Cricetulus griseus: one gene and its partners. The protein of the gene in region 3 interacts with the protein of the main gene of each other region in a pairwise test. Links are inferred from orthologs where the notes say so. Each region holds a gene or a part of one and is shown on either strand. Other genes may lie near its edges. The genes, in order: Tnfaip8l1, Kat7 and Dvl3.

Region 1 (3,649 bases), on a different chromosome or scaffold from region 3:
GAGGCAAGAGGATTGTGAGATCCAGGTCACCCTGAGAATCTAGCCCTAAAAGGGAAATGAGGCTGGCTTGATGGCAGAGCCCCTGGTGAAACGCAAAATAAAGTCCCTCGTGCTCTCTGGCTTTCCTTTTCATCTCACCCTTATGAACACAGCCCCACAAAACGAAGACTAGTCTCCCATTTGGTCAGCATGAAGGTTTCATCTGGGGACAGCAGCATGTATGCTGGGGTCCCGGTTTCAAGATCCAGCCAAGGGTCTGAAGGGAGACAAATTCCCCTGTGGAGCTGGAATGGCAAGAATGGCTTCAAGCAGCTGACAGAAGTGACTGCAACAGGACAGTGTGGAGCTCAGGCTGGGACTCTAGCCAGCCCTCGGGACGCTGAGGCAGGAGAATATGAATTCCAGGCCAACCTGGGCTACAGGGTAAGGTACTGCTTTAAAACACATAAAACAGTCTGTAGCTGTTGGTGGAATCTTCTTTGTAAGTGCTGGCCTTTGTCTGAAACACTAATGAAGCCTCTGGCTCCCACCAGGCCCCACAGGCTACGGATTATAAACTTTGCCCTAAATACACGCAGTCCTCCCCGACACCCCGGATAACCTTCCCACCTGCAGCATTGCACAACCGCTGCGCTATCCACCATCTGCAGATGCAGGGTCTTAACTGGTCACAGGGATCTTCCCCAACATGTGCGTGCTACAGCTGGCCACGCCCCCCACTAGGCAATTCTAGGCGGGGCTCTACCTCTGACCACGCCCCCAGTCCTTCACTGGGAAATTCTAGAGAACTAATGCACAACTCAGTTGTGCACAAAGATAGCTAAAGCCTGCCCACCTTTCCAAGGATGAAAGTTCTGTCTCATAGTGACCATAAGGATAAGCCAAGTATGACGTCATGCTCCCGCATGCGCAGTCAGTGTTGGTTACAAGCCCTGGCTGCAATACAAAGAGAAAAGATGGGTTTGATTCCCAAATAGAGTGTTATAATTTAACACAGACACGTGTCTCCAGTATCTCTGCCCTGTTAAAGCTGGGGACAGCCTCTGAGATTCCCCAGGCTCCTCCCTCCCAGTGAAGACTCCAGCAGATCACTGGCTCCTTGCTGCGTGGTCACGTGGGCGGGCCGCGTGGAGGTCAAAGGCCAACTTGCCAAAACTGGTTCTGTGCTTCCACAGTGCGGGTTTTGGGAATCAAACTCCATCATCAGGCTTGGCAGCGAGCGCCCCACACACCGAGCCACCTCCCCGCCAGGCAGTTTCTTCCTTTTCTCAGATGCAGTCCCAGATGGGGGGGTCTCCGAATCGGATCCCAACACCACAGGGCAGGCTGGGACCGCTTCAGTCCTAGTCCGGTGTCAGGGCTTGAACTCCATTTCCTGAAGCAAGTCACCTTGGGAGGCCCTGAGAGTTAGGAAAGGAAATAGGCATTTGGCAGGGGCCAGAGGTCAGGGAGTACAACTCTTTTTCTCCCAGTTCTCCTCGATCTTGTCTGAAAAAAAGACAAGGCCCAACAGCGAGGTGGTGGAGCATACCCATCACCCCGGCACTCAGGAGGCAACTGCAGGAGCAGCATCGCTAGTTCAAGGTCAGCCTCGCTGCAAAGACAGCCTGGGCTACGTGACAGCGTCTGGGAATTAGTAAGAGGAGCGGAAGTTGGGACGAGTGGTGGTGTTCTCAGGGACAGTCCCCAGACCAGGTCAGATGCCGCCCTCGTCCAGCATCCTCCCGAGGCCGTCGCAGATGCGGTGCAGGTGTCTCCGGTAGGGTTCTGCTGGGCTGTACAGCGCGGCCAGGAAGTCGCCGTTGGCAAAGTGGCCGAAGACGTGGTTGATGCGGCCATGGGACTTGGCAGTGAGGTGCGTGCCTGTGGCCTGATGCAGCAGATCCCTGCACTCCAGCAGCCCCGCGGCCAGCACTCGCCGGTCGAAGGTGAAGTCCACCTGGTGGAAGCTGAGGGCTGTCATGGCCAGACTGCGCATCCGGCCCTGGAACCGTCGCAACTGGGCCAGCTCATCGCTATCCAGCTGACCGGCCCGCAGCAGCACCGACAGCTTCACCGCCACCTTCACCAGGTTCTTCACCACCCTCTGCGCCTCCTTCCGGCTGCGGGTGAACTCCTTGGTGGCTTGGTACAGTTCATCCAGGATCTCGCTGCTGGTGTCGTCCACAAATACGGCCACCATGGCCTTGGAGGCCATCTTACTGAGGACTTTCTTCTGGGCCTGCAGGGCCAGGCTCTTCGTGCTGAAGGTGTCCATGGGCCCTGCGGGATGACAGGTCAAAGGAATGCATGTAGAATGATAAAGTCTGGGCAGGGTCGGGCACCATCCCTACTCTCCGATAGCCAGCTGGCTGTTTCTGGCTGGGAGTTGAGGCTTTTGATGCAAGTGCAGTCAAGTGGTCCCCATGGAGCAGCCACAATACTTAGATCAAGCAGTTCTAGAATTTTCCCCCAAGAGACAGTGCTCAAAACCACTGAGAGTTCTCATGCCCCTTCCCTAATAAACTCTACAAACCTCCTCCCTCTGAGCCACACAGGGCTGCACGGCTGCAACTGCCTCCCCCACCACAGAGGGAAGTCAGGGCCTGACCCTTCTTCTGCTGTGTTCTCTGGGACCTCTGACCCCTCTAGGAGTGAGCAAACCCGGAAAAGCCAAGGAATACACAGAGGCCTGTTGAGACCTGACCCTGGTCAGCCATGCACCACCCACCCGGCCAGCTTATCCCCGAATCATCTACAAAGCCCGCCTTTGTATGAGCCCAGACCCCGGGCAGCCCCCACCCCCGTTCTCGCCATCCTCTTCTTGGCCTTAGCGGTCAGGGACACATGTCTCGCTCTGCAGCTTTCCTGCCCCCAGTGCTCACCCCCCACACCTCCTCATTCCCCCACCCGGCTGTCCACCAGCCAGGGCCTAGACATAGCTATTGACACAGTATGCCTGCCACGTGAGCCCATTTCATCACTTCGGCCAACGCCATTCTGCAAAGACCACAGCTGTCCCCAGTGGGGACAGGTAGGAATAAAGGCACAGTGGTGGAATCTATCCTCTCAAAGTCCACTGTACCTGGGGGCCACACAGCAGAAGAGGACGATCAGCCTCCGATGGTCCCACACCTGAGTGCTCCTGCCTCCTCCCTAGTGTCTGAGGACACCATACACCAGACATTGCACACCTGCCACCCCAGCACTTGGAGGTGGAGGCAGGAGGATCAGAAGCTCAAGGTCAGCCTGAGCTATATGGGGAGCTGGGGGGCAGCCTAAGCTACATGACCCTCTCCAAAAAACAGAGAAGAAAGAAGATTATCTCACAGGCAGGGGACCAGAGAGACCTCTACACCATCCGGGGGCTGGTTCCCAATTAACACTGAACAAAGGGGGGGGGCTCTCAGAGGAACAAAGTCTGGAGTCCCTGTTTGGCTTGGGGGTGTGTGACTCCAGAGGGAGTGCTGATCCTCTGGACCTTGCTTACCCATGGACAAAGCCAAATTTGGACTCTGTGGCTCAGGAGTGAAGCTGAGAGTGTGGATGGACTTCCGGAGACTGGTGGGGGCACAGCTGTGGCTATCCTGGCTGTCCCAACTCCTATTGAGCCTGAGCTGCCACCTGGGGCAGCCAGCTGCTGGCTTCCACTTCCTGTTCTGAAACCCAT
Region 2 (3,494 bases), on a different chromosome or scaffold from region 3:
CCAGAAGAGCAGCCAGTACTCTCAAATGCTGAGCCAGGTCTCCAGGTCCTCCTCTTGGTTTTTAGAAGAATTGAGTGTTAACAACTCCAGATGGCAAAAAACACTTTATGACTATTCCCAGGACCCAATGTTCCAGGATCTTCAGCCCTGCACCGAGGGTCTCTGCAATGCCCTCTAATCACAGTCAGATTAAACAGAATGAGGGCCACTGTCATCAAGTGCAACCTACCTTTGATGGAAATCTCCTTGCCCTGGAAGTTGTGCAGGTACCGGAGCAGCACTTCCTTCCAGTAGCTTCGGTAGCTTATGAGCCCAAGGTCCGACAGGGGGCGCTCTGGAGAGCCAACTTTCTCTTCCACTTTGGAAAGTAAATAACCTGCCAAGAAAAAAAACAAATTTGGTTTTTATTCTTTTAATTTGTGGAGAAGGCCTTAAAAATTATGTTTACTTATTTTGTGTGCATGCTGGTGTAGAAATCAAAGAACAACTTGTAGAAATCAGTTCTTTCCTTCTACTGTGTGGGTACCGAAAATCAAACTCGGGTCCTTAGGCTTGGCAGCAAGTGACTTTACCCACTGAGCTATCTCACAAGCCCTTGGGTGAGGGGGCTTTTTGAGACAAGGTTTTGATATGTAGTGCTAGCTGGCCTATAATGCACTATATACAGACCGGGCTGGTGTTGAACCTGCAGTGAAATCTTCCCCACTGTCTCTGCTTCCATCTGGTTGGGAAGCCAGTCAGACTTTTTTAAGCAACACTAAATCTCATTCTAACAGCAAAAAACAGTGTGCAAACACAGAAGACTTAAGGACATCTGCTTTGCAGTACCACAGAGCCAGCCATTCAACAGAGTGTGTTCTGTGTGGCTGCTGAAGACATACTGGCTTTATATAAACAAGGGTGGTGGAATGTGCACTTATTGTGTGTCTAAGCACCTTATAACAGGCACTTAGGAACAACCCTGGAAGGCTTCACAAGGAGCTTTAACAGCAATTGTGTGGGTATTTGCTAAGAACAGAGACCGAAGTCCTTCCATCTCTGTTTTGCAGATCCAAATTACAAAATACAACAATCCTCCCTCCCTTGCTTCTTTCTTTCAGGTTAAAGCAGGCTGGCTATAAATGTGAGGCAATCCTCTAGAGACAGGAGTGTTAGCATTGTATGTTCCATCCACCATGTCTAGTTTAAATTGTTTTCACTTGGGGCTGGAGAAATGGCTTTGCAGTTAAGAGCACTGGCTGCTCTTCCAGACAATTCAGATTCAATTCCCAGAACCCACATGGCAGCTCACAACAATCTAACTCCACTTTCAGGACACCCGAAGCCTTCACAAAGGCATATACACAGACAAAACATCAATGTACATAAAATAAAAATAAATATGGCCAGGTGGTAGTGCCGCATGCCTTTAATCCCAGGACCTGAGAGGCAGAGGCAGGCAGATCTTGTTGAGTTCGAGGCCAGCCTTCTACAGAGTGGGTTCCAGGACAGCCAGAGCTGTTATACAGTGAAACCTTGCTTCAAACAAATAAATACTAATTTAAAATTTTTATAGGGCCTAAGGAAATGGCTCAACAGATAAAGTACTTTCCATGTAATCATAAAAACTAGAGTGTGGATCCCCAAAACTCTCACAGAAGTAGGTCAAGAATGGTGGCTGCCAGTAAGCTCAGTTTTCTAGAGGCATAGATGGGATCTCCAGGACATGCAGGCTAGCTAGACTAGTCAAAGTGAGTGAGTTCTCAGTTTAGTGAGATGCTCTGTCAATAAATAAATCAAAAATGGAGGAAGACACTATCAACTTCTAGTTGTCATATGTGTATCACATATACTCATAACAACAAAAAAAAATGTGGGTGTCCGCCCACATCTATATGTGACCTCCATGTGTGGAGGTCAGAAGAAGGCATCTGACACCCCTGGGACTGGAGTTACAGCTGGTTATGAGCTGCCATGTGGGTGCTGGAAACTGAACCTGGGTTCTCTTTAAGAGCACTCCATGCTCTTAGCCACTGAGCCATCTCTCCAGCTAAACCTCCATTCTTCCTTTGACTAAAATTCCATGACACAGATGCTGGTAGCACACAGCTGATTCTTGTTTGTCACAGTGGCTATGCTCAATAGGTACCGGGAATGCTGACTTGAGAATGAATGTTGAACCACTGCTGACAGGAGTAAAGTTTGCTTCTTGAGAGCCTCTGGCCAGAGCCATCAAATTTTCTATGTCAAATGTCCTTTTCTGTTTAAAAACATCTTACAACTAGTATATTTCCTGTATTTTCACCACTAGTAATGGGCTTTATGTGCTAGATTTTAATGTCCTTGAGCCTGGGCAAGTGCACAAGTCTTTTTAAAAGAAACATGGTTTACTTGCACAAAACCGATCAGTTCTGAGAGATCTTCAATGCCCTTGAAGAGGTTTTTGTGGGTGTGAAACAAATGGTCAAAATTTGAATTGGTCCCTCTTTTTATAGTATTGAGATTAAGTCTACTTAATTTATTAAGTCATGTTCATGCCCTGACTTTATATTCTTGTATCTATCAATAAACACTGTGATACTTAAAAAAAAAAAAAAAGCTACGCCGGGTGTTGGTGCCACACGCCTTTAATCCCAGCACTCAGGAGGCAGAGGCAGGCAGATCTCTGTGAGTTCGAGGCCAGCCTGATCTACAAGAGCTAGTTCCAGGACAACCTCCAAAGCCACAGAGAAACCCTGTCTCGAAAAAAACAAAAACAAACAAAAAAAATTACAACACACTGTTGATTCAGAGTAACTGCACTCACAACCCATGGTACTGTGATTCACGTCTGTAGAGAGCTTGTCTAACATCTGCAGTTATCAGTCTCCCTGTGCTCCTGTGCTAAAGACCAACATTTCAGTACAATGCTTACAGACATTTTAAATGAACAGTTTAGGGTACTTGTCACCAAGCTGATGATCTTAGTTCAAACCCAGGACACACATGGAGGAGGAAGAAAACTCTCCTCTGACCTCCACATGTATGACCTAAACCAACAAACAAATGTAGTAAGACCCCTTTCCCCATGAATCTGGGAGGTACATATTAGTTGGTAGACAAATTCAAACCGATACTCATGATTAATGAAGAGTGAGTATAATACCCAAAGCCTAAATCAGGTACATGGATTACCTCCACAAGTGCTTATATAAGTGAAATCCCAAGCATCAAAGGACATTAAGCCTTAAGCACGCATCTGTGCTGTTTCAGTCTCAAATGGGATAATCTTGCAGAGCTTTCTTTATTATTCTCTGCATCTCCTATTAATTTAGTAGCAACTCCAGGTTCTGTGTTCATTCACTAACAGTTGTCAAGGTACTTCCTTCTACTACATGTTGGTACTATCAAGAGCACACATCAAAAGTGATCAACATCCCCAGGGTACCAGCCTTGAAGAGCTGATGCTCAGCAGCATCACTTACTGAAATCAATGAGCATTTTGCCATAGCCCTGTCTCATATACTGAGGCATAG
Region 3 (3,649 bases):
GAGATCCAGTCAAGGCCTTGCCTTGGTGAAGCCTGATGATCTGGGCTCTAGCCCCAGGACACATGGTGGAAGGAAAAATCCAACTTCCACAAGTTGTCCTCTGACCTCCATACACCTGTGTGTGCGCGCACACACACACACCACACACACACGTAATAAAAATCTTAAAGGGGGGCTTACATTTAATGAGAGAGTGTGGATCTTACTAAAACTAGAGATAATCTTACTAAAACTAGAATATAATTTTTGTTATATTCTAAGGATCTTGTTTAACAGGATAAGGCAAAGGTTTGGATAAGCTAAAAGATATCTCTAAGCTGGGAGAACTACTAAGGACAGTTGGTATCTAACTCCTGGCCCTATCACATTCCCAAAGCCAAACTGCATGTCATGACCACTTTCTGTGGTCCCTCATGCCCCAAATTATTTTCCCCCACCCCTCACAGACCCATTACATCTATCATCAAATGGGAAAAAAAATGTGACAAGATCGAAAAGAGAATAGAAGTCAGAAATAGCCTGGGGTTCAATTGTAGCCATGAATGTCAGTTTCTTAATTCTTGAAATGAAAATTATATTGTCTACCTAATTATATATTTTTACATATGCATACACACTTCTTTTTGAGGCAGGGTCTCTCTGTGTATCCCTGGCTGTCCTGGAACTTACTCTGTAGACCAGGCTGGCCTTGAACTCAGAGATCTTCCTGCTCTGCCTTTCAAGCGCTGGGATTAAAGGTGTGTGCCACAACCATCCAGCTTTTTTGGGAGCGAGGTAAAATTATATGTTCTATAGTAATAGACGACATAATAGATAAAAATGCAGAGTCACATAGTTTGGGATTCAAACACCAGCTTTCTACTTGTTTGTGGAGTGTTTCTTCATTGGAGGGGGTGGGTGTTGAGGGTCCTCATGTGTCCCAAGCTGGCCTCAAACTCACTCTGAAGCTAAGGATGACCTTAAACTGATCCTCCTGCCTCCGCCTCTCTAGTTCTGGATTACAGGCACGCACAGCCATACCCAGTCGAATGGCATTGTGAATGCTACGCAAGCATTCTGCTGTCTGAGCTACATCTTCGGCCTCTTTTCTTCCTTATTGTGACAGAATCTCATGTTACCCAGGCTCACCTCATAATCTGCCTGCCTCCGCCTCCTAAGTGTTGACTGGGATTATAGATATGTACCACATAGATGCTTATGAAGGCCTTCTCTCCTCTTTCCTACTTCCTTAAACTCCTTGCCCACGGCTGTCAGAACAAAGTCAGGATTCCTAGCTGAGAAGTGAAGAACAGTAAGAGTTGCGGTGCCTTTTCCCAGTCAAAGGTCAGAGGGATGCTGGGAACAGCACAAGTGCTCTGGAGGTTCTGAGGTGTGGTGTGGGGCCGTTATAGTTTCCAGTCTCCTGATGGCCAAGTCGGTGCTCTAGCAAGTCAGTTGGCCCAGATATGGCCCTGCGAGAGGGGTGGCCCAGAGAGCAGTGTGTGTTCCCGACTTGTGACTCCTCCCCGAAGCTCCTTCTTCTCTGTCCTACTTCTTGGAGGTGCTAAGGATATGTCCCTAGCCCCTCCTCACAGCTGAACAGTCAGTCTTGTGTTGATGGCTTGATCTCACACTTAGGACTACTCAGGTTATGGAGATCCTGCATTTCTACTTCAGAAAGTTCTCACTGACATCCCCCTTTCCCTGCAGAGTGGTGAAGGAAGAGATCTCAGACGACAATGCCAAGCTGCCCTGCTTCAATGGTCGGGTGGTGTCCTGGGTAAGGAGCCATCAGCCTCCAGCTGTATTCCTGTGCTGGCTAGAGGGAGGGACAGCTTAGTTAAGGTTGTAGCTAGTGATTTTATGCCTCTGTATCTGAATCTGCCTTTAGTTTTCTAATGATTTCCTAGAGTTTGCAGTCTTTAATGATATGTGAGAGAATAGTGGGAGGAAGAGAGGGGAGAAACAGGAGCACAGGATAGAAATTCAGAGGTCTTCTATGTCCATCCAGACACCTACTGCCAGTGGGCATCCTCTGTGCTGTGCCCGGACTCTGCTGCCCATGCCTGCCAGCCCGTCTCCCTCATGCACCTGGCCAACTGCCCTTGCATGGGCCAGTCTTCTCAGCCTCACTCTCCAGGCTTTCACGTCCTGCTGCTGAAAGCAACATCTTGCTTTTCCTTGGCACCCCTGTGATCACTCATTTTCTTGGCAGCTGGTATCTGCTGAGGGTTCCCACCCAGAGCCAGCCCCATTCTGTGCCGACAACCCATCAGAGCTGCCACCTTCAATGGAGCGCACAGGAGGCATTGGGGACTCTCGACCCCCATCCTTTCAGTAAGTGTGACTTAAAGGTGGAATGGCCTGGGGAAGGGGGACCTCAGCTCAACCCAGAGCTGGGGAAGGGAGCCCCCACAGCCTGTTCTCATCTCCACCAATTCTTCTCTACCCTTTAGCCCTCATGCTAGTGGAGGCAGCCAAGAAAACCTGGACAATGACACGGAGACTGACTCCTTGGTGTCTGCCCAACGAGAGCGTCCCCGTCGGAGGGATGGCCCAGAGCACGGTGTGTATTTTCCACCTACAACCCCCTCCTGCAGCTTGCAGCCAGCTCCCTGCCTCTTTACCCTATTTCCTTAGTTACGGATATGCCTGGCCCCTGATCAGCCCCTGGCCTGCCCGCCTCATACCCTTTCTCCCCTACTTTGGGCCTTGCAGCAGCCCGGCTCAATGGAACTGCGAAGGGGGAGCGGAGGCGAGAGCCAGGTGGCTATGACAGTTCATCTACCCTTATGAGCAGTGAGCTGGAGACTACCAGCTTCTTTGACTCAGATGAGGACGACTCCACCAGCAGGTGGGGCTTGACTTCCATAGGTCCTGGGGTGGGAGTGAAAGGGACAAGTGACCCATGAGGAAGCCTGATTCTGCTGATGCTTCACCTCTGGGGGGGAGGGACGGGACGTGGGCATTGTGTTGGGACCAGGGCTGTGCAGTGCCTCTTTCGGGGCCAGGATGGGCCAGCCTGGTGGGGAACGACTTTGGGCCCCACAGGTTCAGCAGCTCCACAGAACAGAGCAGTGCCTCGCGCCTAATGAGGAGACACAAGCGGCGGCGGCGGAAGCAGAAGGTCTCTCGGATTGAGCGGGTATGGACTCTCGAGCTGAGCAGGGCAGATAATGAGTCCTTTCTGGGCAGGACCAGAGCTCTTCCTCAGAGCCCTCTGTTTGGTTTAGTGTTTGAAATCTTAGTGGGTGAGGGTAGTGGGTTGAGCAAGAACCAGATGGGCACGCCCACCCCTGCCTGCTGCTCACAGCTACTGTCTCTTCCAGTCTTCGTCCTTCAGCAGCATCACAGACTCCACTATGTCTCTCAATATCATCACAGTTACTCTCAACATGGGTGAGTCTGCTGAACACATTGAAGAGCCTCTGCTGGGAAGGCAGAAGGGGTTTCTGGGAAGCACAACATACATTTTCTGGGGTCCAGGGTGGGATCTCAGTGGCAGAGTATAAGGCCCAGGGTCCTGTATCCAATACAGGAAGAAAAATATGTGTTTCTTGCTCTCCTGTTGCTTTTTTATAAATACTGACATAATCATTTCGGTATTTCATTGTCAGGGCTATAACAGAGAAACACAGAGAACTGTGTGACCTGGGAGGTTTTCTGGGGG

Evidence for each region.
Region 1: the proteins of Dvl3 (region 3) and Tnfaip8l1 interact in binary tests that used the Homo sapiens proteins (3 or more experiments, as listed by UniProt). The two-hybrid records come from large-scale screens. The link is inferred for Cricetulus griseus from reciprocal best matches to the Homo sapiens genes DVL3 and TNFAIP8L1.
Region 2: the proteins of Dvl3 (region 3) and Kat7 interact in a two-hybrid assay, tested with the Homo sapiens proteins (2 studies listed by BioGRID and IntAct). The two-hybrid records come from large-scale screens. The link is inferred for Cricetulus griseus from reciprocal best matches to the Homo sapiens genes DVL3 and KAT7.

Annotation. Positions count from the first base shown.
Region 1 is NC_048598.1:97,377,246-97,380,894, forward strand, and holds part of Tnfaip8l1 (tumor necrosis factor alpha-induced protein 8-like protein 1), read right to left. Parts: intron 2,263-3,649; 5' UTR 2,258-2,262; coding exon 1,697-2,257; 3' UTR 1-1,696. UniProt on the Homo sapiens protein: Acts as a negative regulator of mTOR activity.
Region 2 is NC_048600.1:108,454,625-108,458,118, forward strand, and holds part of Kat7 (histone acetyltransferase KAT7), read right to left. Parts: coding exon 3,444-3,494; intron 377-3,443; coding exon 230-376; intron 1-229. UniProt on the Homo sapiens protein: Catalytic subunit of histone acetyltransferase HBO1 complexes, which specifically mediate acetylation of histone H3 at 'Lys-14' (H3K14ac), thereby regulating various processes, such as gene transcription, protein ubiquitination, immune regulation, stem cell pluripotent and self-renewal maintenance and embryonic development.
Region 3 is NC_048597.1:68,113,483-68,117,131, reverse strand, and holds part of Dvl3 (segment polarity protein dishevelled homolog DVL-3), read left to right. Parts: intron 1-1,689; coding exon 1,690-1,759; intron 1,760-2,194; coding exon 2,195-2,316; intron 2,317-2,435; coding exon 2,436-2,545; intron 2,546-2,697; coding exon 2,698-2,833; intron 2,834-3,030; coding exon 3,031-3,124; intron 3,125-3,308; coding exon 3,309-3,378; intron 3,379-3,649. UniProt on the Homo sapiens protein: Involved in the signal transduction pathway mediated by multiple Wnt genes.